2 linked regions of the Rattus norvegicus genome follow. The protein of the gene in region 1 purifies or fractionates together with the protein of each later gene. This does not show direct contact. Links are inferred from orthologs where the notes say so. Each region holds a gene or a part of one and is shown in the gene's direction. Other genes may lie near its edges.

Region 1 (9,393 bases):
AGCCTGGGATGGGGCTGGTTGGTGCTCCATTACTCCCGACTCTCAGGCTCCAAAAGGCTGCAAGGCTGAGTTAATCAGATACGTCTTGGTGGCCCACGGATTTAATGCCTACTGAGCTCCGGGCAAGGGAAATGAGGTTAAGCTGCAGGGATACAAGTTGAAGCTAGACATCAGAGGAAACTCACCACTATCAGAAAAAAAGGAGACAAGGCCGTTTGCTATAAGGGAGACTGAAGAATTTCCCTTTTTTGGAGATTTGTCAAATACAAAAATTCTTACCTTTAAAGGCTGGGAAGCTGGAGATTGGGTTAGATGCCCTTGTGCCCTCTCCTTAAAGTTCAAGGTGCAAAGGAGACCATGGTCACAGGGTCACAGCAATGTCCAGTTCCACTCCTGTGTGCCCCCTTCCCTCCAGGAGATCAAATCCCCTATGCAAAAGAACAGATTCCAGGAACGACTATTTTCTGATTCCTTTACATATCCTCTGATGCAGATGAAGCCCTGGTGCTTGGCAGGCACCAGGCACATAGTAGGCGATTAAGAAACACACAGGAAATCCATCCATCTGGGAGGAACTGGCTCTGTTTTCTACATTGGAGCCTCCATGCGGGGTTGGGGGGTGGTGTTTAGCTTTGGCCTCAACAACGTGCCGTGTGGCTTGTTACATGCTAAGACAAGCAGGGGTGCCCTTCTGCAGACACACAGAGTTTATCCAGAAGCCCCAAATCCTTCCTCCAATACCACCTAGGCTAGTCTATTCCCCTCTCCAGCCTTCCCCTGCTGCGAGTTGGCTGAAGGGAGGAAGAAAGGCAGCAGAGAAAAGCTTGGAAGTGGTGTGTGACTGGGTGGGAGGAATGGGTGAAGGTGGAACCCTGGCAGAGGTAGCAGCTTGGGACAGTGAGTCTGGGATGATCACTGTGGAGAGTGGCAAGTGGCAGGTGGGGGCATGGATTAGGTAGAGATAAGGACCCTCAGGTAAGCTGGCAGGGAAACAGCAGAGTGGAGGGGTCCTGGCAACTTGGCACATACATAGCTACAGCTAGATCAGGGATGCTGCAATCTTCCTCTCCCTTCCAGGAAGACTTACTGGATGGAAGAGAGCAAGTTAAGCCTCGTTCCTTTCTCTGTTGGGGTAATGTGGTCAAAGATACTGTTAGGATATCTTCATCTGGAGTTATATTAGCCCATAAGTTCTCGTGTGCGTGCGTGCATGTGTGTGTGTGTGTGTGTGTGTGTGTGTGTGTATGTGTGTGTGTGTGTGTGTGTGTGTGTGTGTGCGCGCGCGCGCGCTCGCGCGCTCGCGTGTGTTTTCAGGAAATTCTTTTCTAAACAGCCACTCCCCCAACTCCCACCCACACAAGCTGTTTCCTCTTGCCACTCTGTAAGCTCTCTGAGAGTTAGGGTACTTTTAATTATCTGTGCAGCCAAAGTCTACACTGGCGCCCAGCATAGAGTTGGTGCTCAGTACTCTCGTTGAGCGAATGAATGCCTACAGACCCTTGGTTCATGTTGCAGCCGCTACAGTAGTCATCAACCGCAGGGAGAAATACCCACATCTTCTCAGGCTACCTATTGAGTTCTTTTGGATAGCTCAGCAGCCTTGCCCGCTATGGAGGGCTTGCTGCCCGCTTTTGTTTAGAACCAAGCTCCTTTTCTTTCCATCCACTGGCTTCCCCACCCCCCCCCCAAACCCACCAAAGCTTCTTTACATCATGATTTAATCTTTGACGGAATCGCTTTGTCTGTGTCTCCCTGGAGAGGTATCCACCGTCCGCCCGAACCCCTACAAACACATACTGACCATTCTGTTCTTAAAATAAGGTGTCCAAGTTTACAGTGCACCACATTTCCTAGTCTTTCGATCTCTGGAGCTTAGTTTTAAAATCGCATTACACTGTATTTACTTTTATGTGTGTGGCACTTGTGCCAAGGCGGGAGATCAGGGGACAGAGGACAACCTTTTGGACTTGGTCTACCTCCACCAGGTATCAAACTCAGGTCATCACACTTGCCCAACTGAGACATCACACAAGCCCATTAAAGATTCTCTTAATGCGGATCATTTTGAACCCTCTTTGTAGACCAGGGTGGCCTCTAACTCAGAGAGCTGCCTGCCTCTGCCTCCTTGAGTGCCGAGGTTAAGGTTAAAGGCCCGTGTCACCACTGCCTGGCTGCCTGCTCCAGCACTTTTTAAGAACTGTCTCGAACGGACCATCTCACTGGCTTAAATACTGACATTCCTCAGCTGTTTAAGCTACAAAGTTTATTTAATCTCTCCAACCCAAGATAGATAAAGCTAATGAACCCACTTAGATACAGGGTGAAAAGTATACTAGCTGGCCTAAGGTCATACAAAGATTAAGGGGAGAACCCAAACCAGGCCTTCTAATTCTAAACAGAAGAGAACCGGGAACACTCCATCTTTTGTAGGGGGAGAAATCCCAACCTAGCACAAAGCCTATGAAATGCTTTACAAACATCTTATTACTATGTTGAGGCAAGAATGAATAATCCTGACGCTGAGTTGGCTGGCTAGTGAAGGCGTCAGTCCTTTCCCATGCTTCCCCCTGACTCACCTGTTGGACAGGTAGGGGGAAGGGGAGAATAATGAGTCTTACCTGCTCAGGGCTAGGGTGGGGCAAGTAACGCCCCACCTGTTCCATTGGCTTTTGCCTTAGTCTTACTGACAGCCCTCTGTCCAATCATAAGGAAGAAACTTTCTATTTGCCAATAGATGCAGAGTGAGGATGAGACCTCAAGTTGGCGTCCACCCCAGAGTCGACTGGCAGTCCCTGGGGCCAATGGTGAGCGCATAAACAGAGGCGGCCGTGGTAGAGGTCCCGGCGTGAGGCTCCGCCCCTCAATAGGATAGTCAGGCTGGGCAGCCAGTGAGATAACCTCAGAGGGTGGGAGTCTCCCTAGGGGGCGGAGCTTCAAGGGGGCGAGAGGTGTGGCTTGGCTGTCAGGTCCCTTTGCCTTTTGTTCGGTTACTGAGTTGCTGCCTTGGCCAGAGTCCGGAGCAGCCGCCGCCCGAGCGCCCCGAGCTCAGTTCGCTGCCTGCGCCGGCTGTCTCCCGGCCAGACCCGACCCCGACCCGGCTCGGCCCGGCTCCACGCTCAGGTACACCGGATAGGGGTACGTATCACTGAGGGTAGAGTAGGGCAAGCGGCCGAGAGGTTGGTTCCAGCGGTTTCAGGGCAGGTGAGGGCGGGTGCCAGGGAGTGCATCCTACACCAGCGACAGGGGGCGCACTGGGGTCCGGGGCACGGGACCCCTGGGACAAGCGATCTGGGTTGGAGCGCCCCTCCAGGCTCGGTGAACCGCAGGTCTGAGAAGGGCGGGGAGGAACTAGGGCAGGTGCCTCGGAGTTCGCGCCTCCCCCAGGGCCCGCGGAGCTTGCCCGACGCGGCGTCGCTGACTCTCCCCTGGAGCTGACCGGGCAGACTTTGACCCGCTCCGCCTGGTCCCAGATCCCACGGTGACAGGAATTTACCGCTCGGGAAACTTGCTGCCTAGTCTCTTTGGGGCCACCCTCACCCCACCCCACGCGTCATCCTCGCTTTCCCTCCCTCCCTACTCCCCCAGGCCTGGGTGGGGCCCTATTGTCTGCGCCCAGCTTACCCAACTGTGGGGGCCGAGTGCACATTTTCCCAGAGACGCGATTCCCACCTGCTGAGCAGAGCAGGTGAGCGCTTGGAGGACCGAGGCCCTGCCCTGTAGCTCCGAGCTGGACCTGTGGCGCCTCCCTCCGCTCTAGTGTACGCCGGTCTATGGCTTCTCTTACGGAGGTGGATGGGGTGACGGGGGAACTGGTGAAGGGTCTGGGCTCAGTGCCCTACCGATGTCTGTCTGACCTGGTGGCATGGCCTGGAGTCTGGGCCGGTAGAGAAAATTAAGAAACACTCGCCCAGATTTTAGTAGCTTGTGGTTTCCAGAGTGTTGGTAGGGAAACAGCGATATCTTTTGATTTCTGCAACCCATTATTGTTGAGAAATCACTCCAAACAAACTTTCCAGGAGAAAGTAACCGTGGGGGCCTTTTCTAGGATTTTCCCCGTCTCCTTGTTGAGAGCTGATTCAAGGCTTGGTGGTACTTCTTAGAGGAAAGCCTCTTCCCTGGTCAGCTCCAAGCTGAACACAGCCTGTGCGCTTTGACCCGGTTCTCCCTGCCCCCACCTCCATCCTGTTTGCTAGGCCCCTAAGGCCCGAGGTAGGGACCAATGGGGGTGGGTGGGGGCGTTGCTGAAAAGGGAAGTGTCTTCTTCCTTCCCTTTTCGCATCCTCACGGGACCACCACACCCCCTTATATGAGGCCTGCTAAGTGCCTCTCCTCCCAAGCTCTGCCCCTTCCCCAGGAATGGGGTTGGGGCAGGGCTGGGCCAAACTAGGAAGATTGGGAAGAGTGATTAATCTTTCCCCAACTCCCCCGTTCCATCCCCCAGCTTATTTAGCTGGCTGACCATTGAGGCAGGGTAGCATAGGGCAGGAATGTTGCTTGCTGTTCACTGGGTTTGAATTATGAAGGTGCGTCCTTTCTAGAGGACTTGCCAGAAGTCCCTCCTCCACCCACTCTTTAACTGAGTGTTTGGCGGGGAAAGTGGGACAGGAGGAAGTCTTTGCTATGGAAGGCTTCTGCCATGCCAGGCACCCTCAGGGTGAACAGTGTGAGCCCTCCCCTTGGTTCCCTGTGCTGAGAGCTCCTCTCCAGCTGGAATTGTCAACTTCTACTCGGCTTGCTGCACTCTTCTGTACAAATCTGAAGATTGGCCTTTTCATAGGCATTTGGAGTCCAGTCTTCTTGGGGGGACAGAGCAGGAATGACAACGCTAGCGGGGGGGGGGGGCAGAGGGAAGATGGGGTGGGGGTCGTGAGCACTGTTTGCTCTGATTCTCCTGGAAGCTGAGGTGGTGCTTGGTTGTGAATAGAAGAGTGGGGGTGGGAGACATATCCCCCGTAATCTCGCCTTAGGTCCTGTGGTTGGTAAAATATGTGTGACCACCTCTAGGAAGAACTGGGGGCATTAGTTTTAGGCTCATGTCCTCTCCGTGTCAAGGAGGAGGAGGGGTAGGCATTGTCATTAGGTGAACTAAATGAATAGTTTAGCAAATCTGGTTCGTGGCTCTGGTGAAAAGACAGTACTGAGGAAGAAGTAGGGCTATGAGCTGCCCGGCCCAAGCTGGCTTCTGACGGACAGGAGGGAGGGGAAGCAAAGGTAGGATCCGATTAGTCATTTCTCACCAGATCAAGTCTGGGCTTGGGTGACAGAAGCCTCCCCCGCACCCGAGCTCCACCCCATTCCCTCTGGAGCCGCCGTCTGGCCTGCTAAGGTTGAGCTTGGAGAATGCAGCCTGTGGGAACGGAAGGTCAGGCGGGGCCTGCTTGACTGTTTTCCTTCCTGGGGGCCCACAGGTCATTGCCTATGAGAGGGAGGCCTGTCGTCCTGCAGAGCTGCTTTAGGACAAGGTGACACATTTGGCTGGTCCACAGAAGGACAGTGATCTAGGGAGACAGTCTAAGGGGTCAGCTCTGAGAACAGGGACTTGGACTGAGATAGTTTGAATCCCTGAGCAGTGTCTCCTTACCTGTGCAGCCTGCGTCAAAGCACCTTCCTGGCTCAGCGACCTCAGGAATTAATAAACCTAGCTACCCAGAAAGTACTTGACTGATGGTAACTCAAAGCCAGAAGACTGTCTGGTACCAAGCGCCACTAACCATGCTCACAGAGGCAGGCGCACTTTTTTTTTTTTTTAAAGATTTATTTATTTATTTTATGTATATGAACACACTGTAGCTGTCTTCAGACATACCAGAAGAGGGTATCAGATCTCATTACAGATGGTTGTGAGCCACCATGTGGTTGCTGGGAATTGAACTCAGGACCTCTGGAAGAGCAGGCAATGCTCTTAACCACTGAGCCATCTCTCCAGCCCGAGGCAGGCGCACTTTAATGTCTTCTTCAGAAACTCAGGGAAGGATAGCAACTTGCCCAGTGTTGCTAGACTCAAGAGAGGGCTAAGCTCAGACCTCATTCTGCTGTTAGGCTCTACTACAACTCTGGAAGGATTTCTTTTTTCTTTCCCCTTTTTCTTTTGGCTGCTAAGGACCAAATCCAGGGCCTTGTGGATTTGCACGTAGGCAAGCACTTTCCCATGGGATCCATCATCGGCCCTGGATGGAAGTTGTATCCCCCCACTGTCCTTTAATTTTTTTTTTTTCGGAGCTGGGGACCGAACCCAGGGCCTTGCGCTTGCTAGGCAAGTGCTCTACCACTGAGCTAAATCCCCAACCCGCCCCCCCCCCCCCCCGTCCTTTCTTGACAGTCTCTTGTAGCCTAGGCTAGCCTCTGAGGTTGACCTTGAACTACTTCCTTTCTTTTTGATGACAGGGTCTCAAAGTGCAGCCCTGACTGGCCTAGAACTTGCTGTATAGACTGGAGAGGGGAGGGTTTCAAACTGCTCCCCGGGATAACAGGTGCGTGCCACCATGCCCAGGCAAACTTTATAAAACATTCATCATCATCATCATCTTTATGTATGTATGTATGTATGTATGTATGTATGTATGTATGTATGTATGTTGTGTGTGCCTGTGTGTCTGAGCATGCACAAGACCTCTGTGGAGATCAGAGAACAACCTTCAGGAGTTTTTTTTTTCCTTCCACCCTTTAGCCCAATCAGCCATCTGTCAACTCTTCAGACTTTGAACTTGCCATCCTCCTGCCTCTACCTCTCAAGTGCTGGAATCACAGGCATGCGGCACTGTAGCTGGCTTATACCGTGCTGGGGGGTCGGACCCAGGGCTTCCTATAAGCTAGGCGACCGCTCTACCAAGGAAGCTACCTCTTATCCCTAAATGGAAGTTTTTTTACTGCCCCTTTTGGAGGGCCTCAGCTCCAAGGATAGAAGGGAATTTAGGAGAGCCCTGCTAGACGTGTGGGGGTGGTGAAGGCGGGACAGGTTTGTCAGGTGGGAGTGACTCATCCCCTGGCTGCCAGTACTCTGAAGCCTCACCGGCTGCCCGCTCGCCTTGGTCGCTGTGGTAGGTGGTAAGGCAGCTCCTCCAGACCAAGAGCTGAGAGGGTCTAAGTTAGGGGAGACCAGAGGGAAGGACAGCATGGTTCAGAGCTTTCTAGGCTGGACCCCGGATAGGAGGTGGGAGCTACCTGCTTCACTAACTAGTGTCTGGGGCTTTGCCAAGTTTAAGTGGGCATGGGCGGGGGCTGAGGCAGGGGAGACACATGAGTCAGATTTAGGCTCGGGTTGAGAGTCCTGCTGGAGCATGCCAGTTAGCACAGCCAGGCTGCCTGGAGAGGAGTTTTCTACTGCCCTGTCCTGTCTGGAGACCCTAGCATCTAGGCAATGAAAACCTCTACAGGAGGGCCTTTCTGTGGGAGTAGGGTGAGGGGTTGTGGGGGGGGAGGTTGGTGCCTGTCAGCCAGAGCCCTAGTCCTCAAGGGAGGATTTGGTGGTGCAAGGTCTTCTTAGGTATGACTGGTTTGGACCCCTCTGCCAACCCAGCACCTGGCTCCAGAATGGGCCTGGGAGTGGGAACCTGGGGCTAGGCTGAGCCTGCGCACTGGTACATCCTGAAGACTGAGGCTCTTACTACCGGATCTTAAGATTCCGGACGGAACCACAGCATGATTACTGATCTTAGCGAAGAGAGCCCTCAGCCAGGAGCCTTGACTTAAGCACAGATGGAGAATGGAGTCATTCTGGCAGAGCACACCGCACAGGGAGATGGATGGACTTGTGGCTTTCTAGCACCCTGAGGCCACAGGGACAAGGTGGGTGGGTGGGGCACACAGATGTCCTTATGAAAAGAAGAGGCTAGAACAGAAAAAAGGACTTCGTATCCAGAAGACAGTGTCAGGTCCTCAGCAGGCAGAGTTAGTTATAGAGGACCCTGAGCTGCTATGTGGGTTCTGGGAACTGGTCTGGGTCCTTTCCAAGAGCCTAAGCACTCTTAACTGCTGAGACCTTTCTCCAGCCCCAGATGGGAGGTCTTCCCTTCAAAGGGAGAAGCAGGTGGAGGTTCACAGTAGAGTCTCCTCTGGAGAGGGCCACCCTTGCTCAGGAGTTACTCCCTGTAGGGGAAGAGTCAGTCTGAGACCTACTGAGTCCTTGGAGGAAACTTCTTTGGGGGACTTTAGGAAGAAGGACCACAGGGCCTAATAGAAAACTAGCATCTGGCAGCTGGCTGACCCAGCAACTCTGAAAGAAAAAGGTAGTGAGATGGACCAGGATGGGTCACTGGGATTTGTGTCTCTGCAGATGACAGACACCTTGAGGCCTTTGTCTTGGGACGTGGTTGACTGTCCCATTTTCTAGCAACTTCCTGGCTAGGTTTGGAGAGAGAGAGAGAGAGAGAGAGAGAGAGAGAGAGAGAGAGAGAGAGAGAGAGAGAGGAGAGAGAGAGAGTTCTTTGACTATCTGCTTGTGCTAGCCTCCTGGCCTCTTAACTTTTGGATGGCCGCATTAGAGAGGGTGCTCAACTTTCTCTGCGGTTTCCCAGTGTGGAGAGAGATCTTATGTCTAGCGATGTCGAGAAGAGGCCAGGCGGTCAACAAACTGCCTCACTGTGGGCTGCCGCTCTGCCTCCTTTCACTGGGAAATCCATATCCGCTCTCTTTTTGTTCATTTGTTTTTTGTTTTTGCTTGTTTGTTTTTAATTTTTTTTCTTTTTTTTTCGGAGCTGGGGACCGAACCCAGGGCCTTGCGCTTGCTACTGCCACTGAGCTAAATCCCTAACCCCGCTTGTTTGTTTTTAAAGACAAAATCTCTATGTATCCCTTTCTGGCCAGAAACTCACGGAGATCCACTGGCCTCTGTCTTGTCGGTATCAAAGGCGTGCTCCACCATGCTCAGTTGGCCATCTATTTTTTTTTTTTTTCTTCTTCTCACGACAGGGTTTTCTATGTAGCCCTGGCTGTCCTGGAATTCACTCTGTAGACCAGGCTGGCCTTGAACTCTTGCCTGTACTTCTGGAGTGCTAGGCTCAAAGGTGCGCACCCTCACCAGCCGGCTGGTCATCTTTTTTCTTTCTTTTTTTTTTTTTTAAATTGAAGAATGTACATGAGTTTGTGAGAATAAAAAACTGTCCTTAATCTGAACTGTGTGAGGCAGCCACCTTGAACCACCTTCTCCTTCCTACCTTCCTCTGCTCTTGACCTTGCACCTCCACATGAGCTCTGTATACGGTGGTGAGCTCCTTTCATTCCTGCACAATACAGGGATTAGAACCCGGGGAGGGCTTCCGGGCAGGACATACAAGCACTTTATTCATAAGCTGCTCGTCCGTGAAGCCCTCCCATGCCCTCACTATGGCAAGTTTTTATTTTCCAAACGTGTATTTATTTCCGATGTGTGCCGCATACAGGTTGAAGTCCGGGGGC
Region 2 (8,806 bases), on another chromosome or scaffold:
TATGTTTGTGTGTGTGTGTGTGTGTCTTTGTCTTGTATGTGTCTGTGTATCTGTCTTCTGTGTGTCTCTTTGTGTTTTATCTCTGTGTGTGTCTGTATGTCTGTGTTTCTATGTTGTGTGTATGTGTGGGCATGCACGTGTCTGTGTGTTTGTGTGTGCTCTGGTTCCGCTGTATTAACTCTGGCTTTGTATCTCCAGGAATTGGACTATGAAGAAATGAAGAAGCTGGACTTGAGCATCCTTGTCACGAACAAAGCAGCTTTCCACAAGTCCGTTGTGAGCAAGTACAAGGCCACGCCCATTCCCATCACTGTCAAGGTCAAGAACGTGGTCGAAGGCATTCATTTCAAGAGCAGCACAGTCACCTTCCGAGCTAGTGAGGCGATGGATCGATCCAGCCTCAGCCGGTCGATTGGAAAATTTCAAGTTTTCGATGAAGACACTGGAAAGGCAGCTGATGTAACGTAAGATATGGTTGTGAGTGTATTTCCGGGTTTTAATTATCTAACATACCTGTTTTCTGAAATGCCTAATTTTAAAACTCATAGTGAAATCTAAGCAGCTCATTCCTTCACACCCCAGGATTACTTTGCCAAAAATCTGAGAAATCAGTTCCTCCAAACTGAGCTTGTCACTGAAGGAAGGAGGAGGGCATTTATCCCGATAGCCATCGCTTAGCCCCTCAGCCCCTCAGCACCTCAGCATCTCAGTCCCTCAACATCTCAGCCCCTCAGTCCCTCAACATCTCAGCCCCTCAGCCCCTCAGCCCCTCAGCCCCTCAGCCCCTCAGCCCCTCAGCCCCTCAGCCCCTCAGCCCCTATGTGGAGGTGGAGGTAGGAGGTGGAGGTGGAGGTCACCTCTGAATCAGCTCTAGTAGAGAAGACTGAAAACCATCTCAGAAAATAACTGGGAAACTCCCCTCGTTCCCAGCACACTAGGGCGTAAAGAAGTAGTAGATAAGATTAACTTCGTGCTAAGAATGCCAGCACCTGCCTGTAATCCAGTACTGTAGGGGCTGAGGCAGAGGAATTCTGAGATCCTGGCCAAGCTGAGCTACGCAGGGAGACCCTGTCTCAAATAAGTGAGTGAAGAGAAAGTCTTGCTACAAATGCCACTTTACAAACACATTTTTTTAAACACTGTTTCAATATATGTTCCAATATAAGAGAAGTCATTTTATGTGCAAATACATGTTGTATATTTTCTATCTTTATTCAGGCCATTTTATTTAGTTCAAGAAGGGGTGAGCTTTTTTGTGTATGCACTTGACTGAATGTCTGTGCACCACATGAGTTCACAGAGTTGAGGGCAGCTGGGGGCCAGCCTGTGGGTGCTCTCCTAGGTCACTGAGCACTCTTAACCACTGAGCCACCTTTCCAGAGGGCTTAGGTGTGTATTGATCCCAGCAGCCATTACTTAGAAGGTTTGTTAAGAACTGAGTGGATATTGTCACTGTACTAAAAGGATTTCATTGTGTCCCGCCTATAGTGCCAGTGTACACTGTAAATCTCTGTCTTAGCTCTAGGGTCTCACTGTGGGAGAGCTCCATGTAAACCTGCTATCTGTGTAGTTCTTTGGGTTGGGTTATTCGGCTGCTGAAACACAGCTTTGGGGGACTTTCTGTTCTGTGGCCGAGATACTCTCTTGCTCATGTGTCCATATGCCTGTGACCCTGGGTGCTGGCGCCCCATAAAACACCTCATCTAAAACCAGGGCCCACTGTGGCAGAGGGAAAGGCAGAGAAAGCTCCCCACCTGTGTGCTCCCATTCCCATCTGTGTCTCCATTAGTGGAACCTATCAGTCATAGAATAGATAACTCTTTCCCAATTTCATATAAATAAGCATCGCCCACTGTTGCCTGGAATCTCCTCGTGACCATCTTTACTGATGTTGCCTGCGGGAGGCCACGCTGCTCTTCCCAGGTGGGCGGTCTCTACTTTTAGCCTTCATGGCGCTACCTACCTAACATGGCAGCCCCTACCTGACTCCCCAGGATGCTATTCTGTGCGCTTTCTCTCTGCATTCACTGAGAAGCTTGTGTGTTCTAATAATGACCCAATTGAAAATGGCTTCCTGACTTTTTTTTTTTTTAAATCTTGCTGCTATTTTTATCAGGGCCTGTGACTATCATCGAAATGGTACATGTTCTTTGAAGGATGATAAGCTGTTTCTCCAAGCAGTCCTATTTCCTTTCTTTAGCGTGCATTATGGAACATTAGAAAGGGAGCACCCTTGACCAGGGCTCACACATGGGCATTTTCATGGGTTCTGGGAGGCAGAGCTAGTTAGATCATTTAACCATTTAACTAGTGAAGTCTTCAAGAAGATCAGGAGAGACGGCTCAGCAGGAGAGAGCCTTGCTCTTTTGTAGAGGAACTGAACCTTGCTTGCATGGCTCTCAATCCCCCATAGCTCCAGTTCCAGAGGTTCTGGCCCCCTCTTCTGGCCTCTGAGGCCACCTGCATGTATCCACACACACATAAGCACACTTACACAGAATTTAATATTAAAATAAAATCCTTTTTAAAAACTTAATAAGGACAGCAAGAGAACCATATTTTTTTTTCTCTTTTTCGGAGCTGGGGACCGAACCCAGGGTCTTGCGCTCGCTAGGCAAGCGCTCTACCGCTGAGCTAAATCCCCAACCCCGAGAACCATATTTTTCAGATACACCAGAAGAGGGCATCGGATCTCATTACAGATGGTTGTGAGCCACCATGTGGTTGCTGGGAATTGAACTCAGGACCTCTGGAAGAGCAGTCAGTGCTCTTAACCACTGAGCCATCTCTCCAGCCCGAGAACCATATTTTTAATGTTGTCAGTGTGGTGTCGTACTGATTATTCACTCAGTAATTTATCAGTATTTGAGACACCGCGTGAGCCTAGAAGCAGAGTTCCACAACAGATTAGTTGCAAAGCTCTTTGAGTGACGTCACCTAATGCATCCATTGGGACACGTAGATTTACTGCTTAGATGACCTTATTACATAAGAGCTATGAAAATGGGAAAATGGGGCAGACGATCAACACCTACTTTAGAATTCCTGACATTCAAAAGTACTTGTGAAAATCCAAGTGTGTTACCATTTGCTTTTTCTAGTTTTATTGTTTGTTTATTAAGATGATATCATCAGCCCAGGCTGGCCTTGAACTCACTGCGTAGCCAAGGATGAACTTGAACTCCTGGTCCTACTTTTGCTTCCCTCTATAATTATTTACTACAGACAATAATGAGAGGCATTAAAATGTAGTTCAAGGATATAATTGGATTACCCCCAAATACTGTGCACAAATATCACTCTAAGTCAGACACCCGGTCTTGTGCGCTTAAATAGCTACTTCGTAGAAAATAAATTATCGATGTGATTGGCTGAACCAAGACACTCATGCGTTGGGCTTGTGTTTGTATTTTTATGTGTTAAGCGCAGTAGTATTCACTGTATATAATTCTGAAAACCCGGTAAGAGCATCTACTCTCTGCTTTCCACTTTGATTTTCCTTGATTTCAGAGAAAAAAGATTCAGGAGCTCAATGATTTCATTTTAAATCATTTCTTCTTGAGAGTCTTCATTCCTAACCCTATACCATGTTTCAATTCCTTCCATTTAAGTCAACCGCTAATTTTTTTTTTGTAATTTTTACATTCTGACAATATCTCAGTAGACTATATAGCATAAGCCTACCCCACCTGCCTTGTGACATTCAAACCCAGGGTACTGGGATAAAGTTAACTCTACAAGAGGTACAGATGTTAGCTCCAATGTATCCAGAACTAAAAGTGAACCTGGCGTTTGTTTTGTAACAGGTACGTAAAAGTGCAAGACACCGACAACTGGGTCTCTGTGGACTCTGAAACTTCAGAGATTAAGCTGGTAAAGATTCCCGACTTTGAATCTCGACACGTCCAGAATGGCACCTACACTGTAAAGGTTGTCGCTATATCCAAAGGTAAGTCAAATAAGCACATGGTTTTCGTGGTTAAATGCATTTAGATTTTAACTTCCGCCACCAGAAGTGTTTGTTCTGACTGTGTATAAAGGGCTCATCTCGTCAGTGCGCCTGCCCATTTTTGCTTATTTTGTGACTTCGCACTGATAGGAACCTGAGAGCCAGCTGTGGGGGTTATCCCAATGCCTAGCACCCACTCTTTATCTGATTGGCTTCTGGACTGACCTGTGTCTATGGTCGGTGATGCACTCAGAGTCTGAACTCTCTCCTGCTTGCTTTCAAGGTCACCCTCAAAAAACCGTCACTGGCACCATCCTTATCAATGTTGAAGACGTCAATGACAACTGTCCCGTACTGGTGGACTCAGTACGGAGTGTCTGTGCGGATGCACCGTATGTGAACGTCACTGCGGAAGACTTGGATGGACCCCGGAACAGTGGGCCATTCACCTTCTCCATCATTGACCAGCCTCCCGGAACGGCACAGAAGTGGAAAATCACGCACCAAGAAAGTAAGTGCATCAACATCTAGACAGTAAGCATGATTGATAAGTAAGAGTTTACAACAGGCCGTTTCTTCTCCCAAATTGTATTTCCAGTATAACTTTCAGTACAGTTTTAGTCCAGGCATAGTGGGCACACTGTGAAAGAATTCCCAGTGCTGGGAGGAAGAACACAGCCCTCCATGAGAGCTCTGTGAGTTCAAGGCCAGGTTAGTCTACATCAGAAGTTCCAGCTCCCCATCCCCCAAGCTCCACAGTGAGACCCTGTATCAAAAATAGTAGTCATGATGGTAATATAAACCATGAGTCTTCTCTCAAATCGTGCTTCAATGCATCCCTAGTGTAGGCTTTAAGAGGGAAATAAAATGAGGGTCTAAACTCTAAACCTACAGTTGTATCTTAGCGCTGTGGACCTGTGGATATTTAAAACGATCTAGCTTGTCTTAAGGGAGGTTGGGTTTTCTCCAAGTATCTTTTCAAGTGCTTCTGTCTTAACAAGCTGAAGAGACTAGAGATTTGCCGTGTGTAACAGTTATGTGTTGTGAAGCGTGTTCCTAACAGTCCTGTTTAAAATCACATTTACTGAGCATGTACTGGGTATCACGCCTTCTGCATACACTGTCTCATTTAATCCTTGCTCAGTAACACTATTTCCCGATGGTGGGCTAGGATGCTGGCCTAACTGGGGTGTAGCAACTTCTTGAAAGGCACAGAACTAGTTTGTGGCAGAGACGATCTGGCAAAGGGTCTGAGCCGGTGCCGTAGGTGCAGTCAAACGCCTGTATCTTGCACGTAGTCCTCTTCTTGGTGTGATCTTTTGGGTGTCCTTGGGACAGTCTCCAATGCAGAAAATTCTACCCAGAAGACTCTTTAGCAAGCAGTGTTCATTTCAGAAAGGCCTACCATGCAGTTATCAGCGACTGTTCTATTGTTTACCTTAAAATAATTCACAAAAAGGTTTCGTTTGGTTTTTCTATTATTTATTAACGTCATTTGTTTCGGTTCGGTGTTTGTTTGTTTGTTTGTTTTTTGCATAATACACATATACAAATGGCTCTCAAAATTTTAGTGAGATCCTGGGAGGCAGAGGCGAGAGGATTGTTTTGAGCTTAGCCTTGACTACACATCAAGTTCCAGACTAACCTGTTCTCTATAGCAAGGTCCTGTCTCAAAGAAATAATGTGAGCAGGACATCCCAGTGGGTAAAGGTCCTTGCGGCCAAGCCTGCTTAGTGAGTTCCACACCCAGGACCTGCCTCTAACCTCCACATACTGACTGTGACACTGGAACACAGATAGAACCAGGTCTGCTCTAAATAAACAAATGTAACTTTCTTTCTTCTTTCGAGATACAACTTCAAAAATTCCCTTATTGTTTTTTTTGGGGGGGGGGGTTGTTGTTGTTTCTATTTGCTTGTTTTTTGAGACAGGATCTCGCTCTGTTGCCTGTGCTGGCCTCAAACTCTGCTGTTGTCCTGCCTCAACTTCCCGGTGCTCACATCTGTTACTTACTTTGTCTTTTTTCATGTGTCTCTCACCGTATTACAATGCTCGTTTAAATAACATGAAATGCCATTACCAAACTTTTTCACAAAAAGAAACAAAACAGTAGGTATAGAGAGAAGGTATTATCAAAAAAACAGAAAAGACCAAGATAAAAATAAAAAGACCAAGATAAAAATAAGACAGGCTTATCCTGAAAAGTATCAAAACTGGGGGTGACATCAGTTTCTGCTACATTGAAAAACTACTTTGATAGCTTCTTTTTTAATAATTGGTAATATAAGTGTCATCGAATGAAAATGTTATTCACAGAAATGACATCTCGTGTATGGTTGCATCCCCACTGACTGGAGCGTGTCACGTGGTGGCAGTTCCTAGCATTTGTTAGACCACACACAATAGCTAATCGAATCATCATGAAAGTTGTGTCCAACCCCAACCTTCTGTTAGTTAAACTTTTGAAATCTGTGGACACATTTTTGGTGAACACAGAGAATGGGCGCCCGGAGGAGGTGGGAGAAATAAAGCTTCCACCTGGGCCGCGTTAAGACCCTTTCCACGGATTCATTTCTCTTCCCTCAACAGCCGCCCGTTTCCATTCTCTTGCGTCTCCTCTCTGGCAGGTACCAGTGTGCTGCTGCAGCCAAGCGAGCGGAAGCTTGGGAGAAGTGAGATTCCCTTCCTCATCTCCGACAGCCAGGGTTTCAGCTGCCTGGAGAGGCAAGTCCTCCAGCTCACCGTGTGCGAGTGTCTGGAGGGCGGTGGCTGTGTGGCTGCGCTGTATGACAACTACGTCGGTTTGGGCCCCGCCGCGATCGCCCTCATGATTCTGGCTCTCCTGCTTCTGCTGCGTAAGTCTTCAAAGCCTGTATTCCCAGTGCCTTGACGAGTTTACTAGGTCTTCAGAAAGGACTTGCCACAGCCGTGCGCCGTGTGCTTATAAGGTTGTTTTTACAAACGTTTATTCCAATCCAAGCGTGATTCGCGCGCTCAACTCATTGCGTCTCCTCTGTCCCCATTCTTGGCTGCTCGGCTTGCCTCTGCTAACCCACTGCGGTCAACCCTTTCCTAAGCACCTCGGTGTGCCCTCACGCTAACAAGCTGTGTCCAGCTAGTCCTGCCTGCCCTCCGTTCTGCCCTGTAGTTGCACTGTACTTGAACTTGGGCAGAGTACCACCTCCAAGACACCCCAGGCTATCTCCACGCAAAGAGGAGAAGCCTATTAAAGACACTTACAGGTGTCTAGTTCAGTGCAAAGGTCTACAGGGCCCTCCAGCCCACCAGCTCTGTTTGATTGTGACTGACTTGACTTACCGTCGACTCGGGCGTGCATCTTTTACCCAGGAATTCCACGCCCTCTCTTCCCAGCTTCCCCGAAGTCTAACCTGGCACTCAGCCCATGACATTTGACTACTATTGATTTTTAACAATGGTGCTTAGGAGCTGGGGGTGTGGCTCCATTGGTCCTGTTTATGTGGCATGCCTGGGCTCAACCTCCAAATTCCATAAAATCAGATATGCTGTGCAGATCATCGGTGACCCCAGAACTCGGGAAGTGACGGAAGAAGGGTCTGGAGTTCAGGATCTTTCCCAGTTACATACTGAGTTCAAGGCCAGCCTGGGCTATGTAATACCCTATCTGATTGATTAATTAATTAATTGGTAAATAAATAAATGCAGGCAAAGAAAAGAAAATGGTGCTCGGGTAAGTCAAAAGTGAAGGACCAGAGAGTCAGAACTTATACAAAGCCCCACTCTGAGATGGTCTAGAATATGTTGATGTTTTATTCTGGTTTTTTTTTTCTCCCAGGTGTGTGTGTGTGTGTGTGTGTGTGTGTGTGTGTGTGTGTGTGTGTGTGTTTGTCATGCACTAGAGCATACACACACACACACACACACACACATGCATGCATGCATGTTTTATCTTGTTTTGTTTGAATGGGGCTTTAGAAACAAGGTTTCACTCTGTAGGTCCTGCTGGCCACAAACTCACAGCAATCCTCCTGTTTCAGCCTCCCAAGCATGGAAAAATTGCTACATACTGGGGAAATCACAGGCATGTGCTGCCATTCCTGGCTGCTTTTGATCACTCTGATACTTATCTTTGAGACCGTGGTCTTACAAAAATAATTTTGGAGACAGTGGTTTAAAGGATCTCATCCAGTCACCACATTCTGCTCGGAGGCCAGTGATAGGCTCTCTGTGATAAGGAAGACCTTGGAGTCAGAGGACTCTGTCTGCCTCCGGGCTTTGGTGCAATTGAACCGAAGCAAGGTTGGAAAGGTTGGGTCAGAGTGGAAAAGACAGAAAACAGAAAGATAAGACTGCAAATATGGGAAGCATGGGCTTGGAGAAGTCAGATGTGAATTCTAAGTGACGTGGGATTAGCTGGTGAATAACCTGACTCCCCTTTGCTTTGTACAGTGGTGCCGCTCTTGTTGTTGATGTGCCACTGTGGAGAGGGCGCCAAAGGCTTCGCCCCCATTCCCGGGACCATAGAGATGCTGCATCCTTGGAACAATGAAGGGGCACCACCCGAGGACAAGGTCAGCCCGCAGACAGTGATGCGATCTGCTCCTGGTCTGACTTTATTGGGGGACATAGGGAGTTTGGACAATCTCACTCTATAACTCAGACTAGCCTTGAACTCAAAGCAATCTTCCTGCCTTAGACTCCCAAGTGTGGGGATTACAGGTGTAAACCACCAGCTCCTGTTAAGAGTTTAAAGGTGGGGCTGGAGAGATGGCTCAGTGGTTAAGAGCACTGGCTGCTCTTCCAGAGGTCCTGAGTTCAAATCCCAGCAACCACATGGTGGCTCACAACCATCTGTAATGGGATCTGATGCCCTCTTCT

The links.
Region 2: the proteins of Jup (region 1) and Dsg2 purify together in Homo sapiens (affinity purification with western blotting; 3 studies listed by BioGRID and IntAct, with this or other methods). This does not show direct contact. The link is inferred for Rattus norvegicus from reciprocal best matches to the Homo sapiens genes JUP and DSG2.

The regions. Positions count from the first base shown.
Region 1 is NC_086028.1:85,821,336-85,830,728, reverse strand, and holds the start of Jup (junction plakoglobin), read left to right. Parts: upstream 1-3,299; 5' UTR 3,300-3,685; exon of another isoform or gene 3,686-3,758; intron 3,759-6,389; exon of another isoform or gene 6,390-6,470; intron 6,471-9,393. UniProt on the Homo sapiens protein: Common junctional plaque protein. The membrane-associated plaques are architectural elements in an important strategic position to influence the arrangement and function of both the cytoskeleton and the cells within the tissue.
Region 2 is NC_086036.1:12,155,900-12,164,705, forward strand, and holds part of Dsg2 (desmoglein-2 precursor), read left to right. Parts: intron 1-198; coding exon 199-464; intron 465-3,806; coding exon 3,807-3,949; intron 3,950-4,232; coding exon 4,233-4,460; intron 4,461-6,576; coding exon 6,577-6,804; intron 6,805-8,377; coding exon 8,378-8,499; intron 8,500-8,806.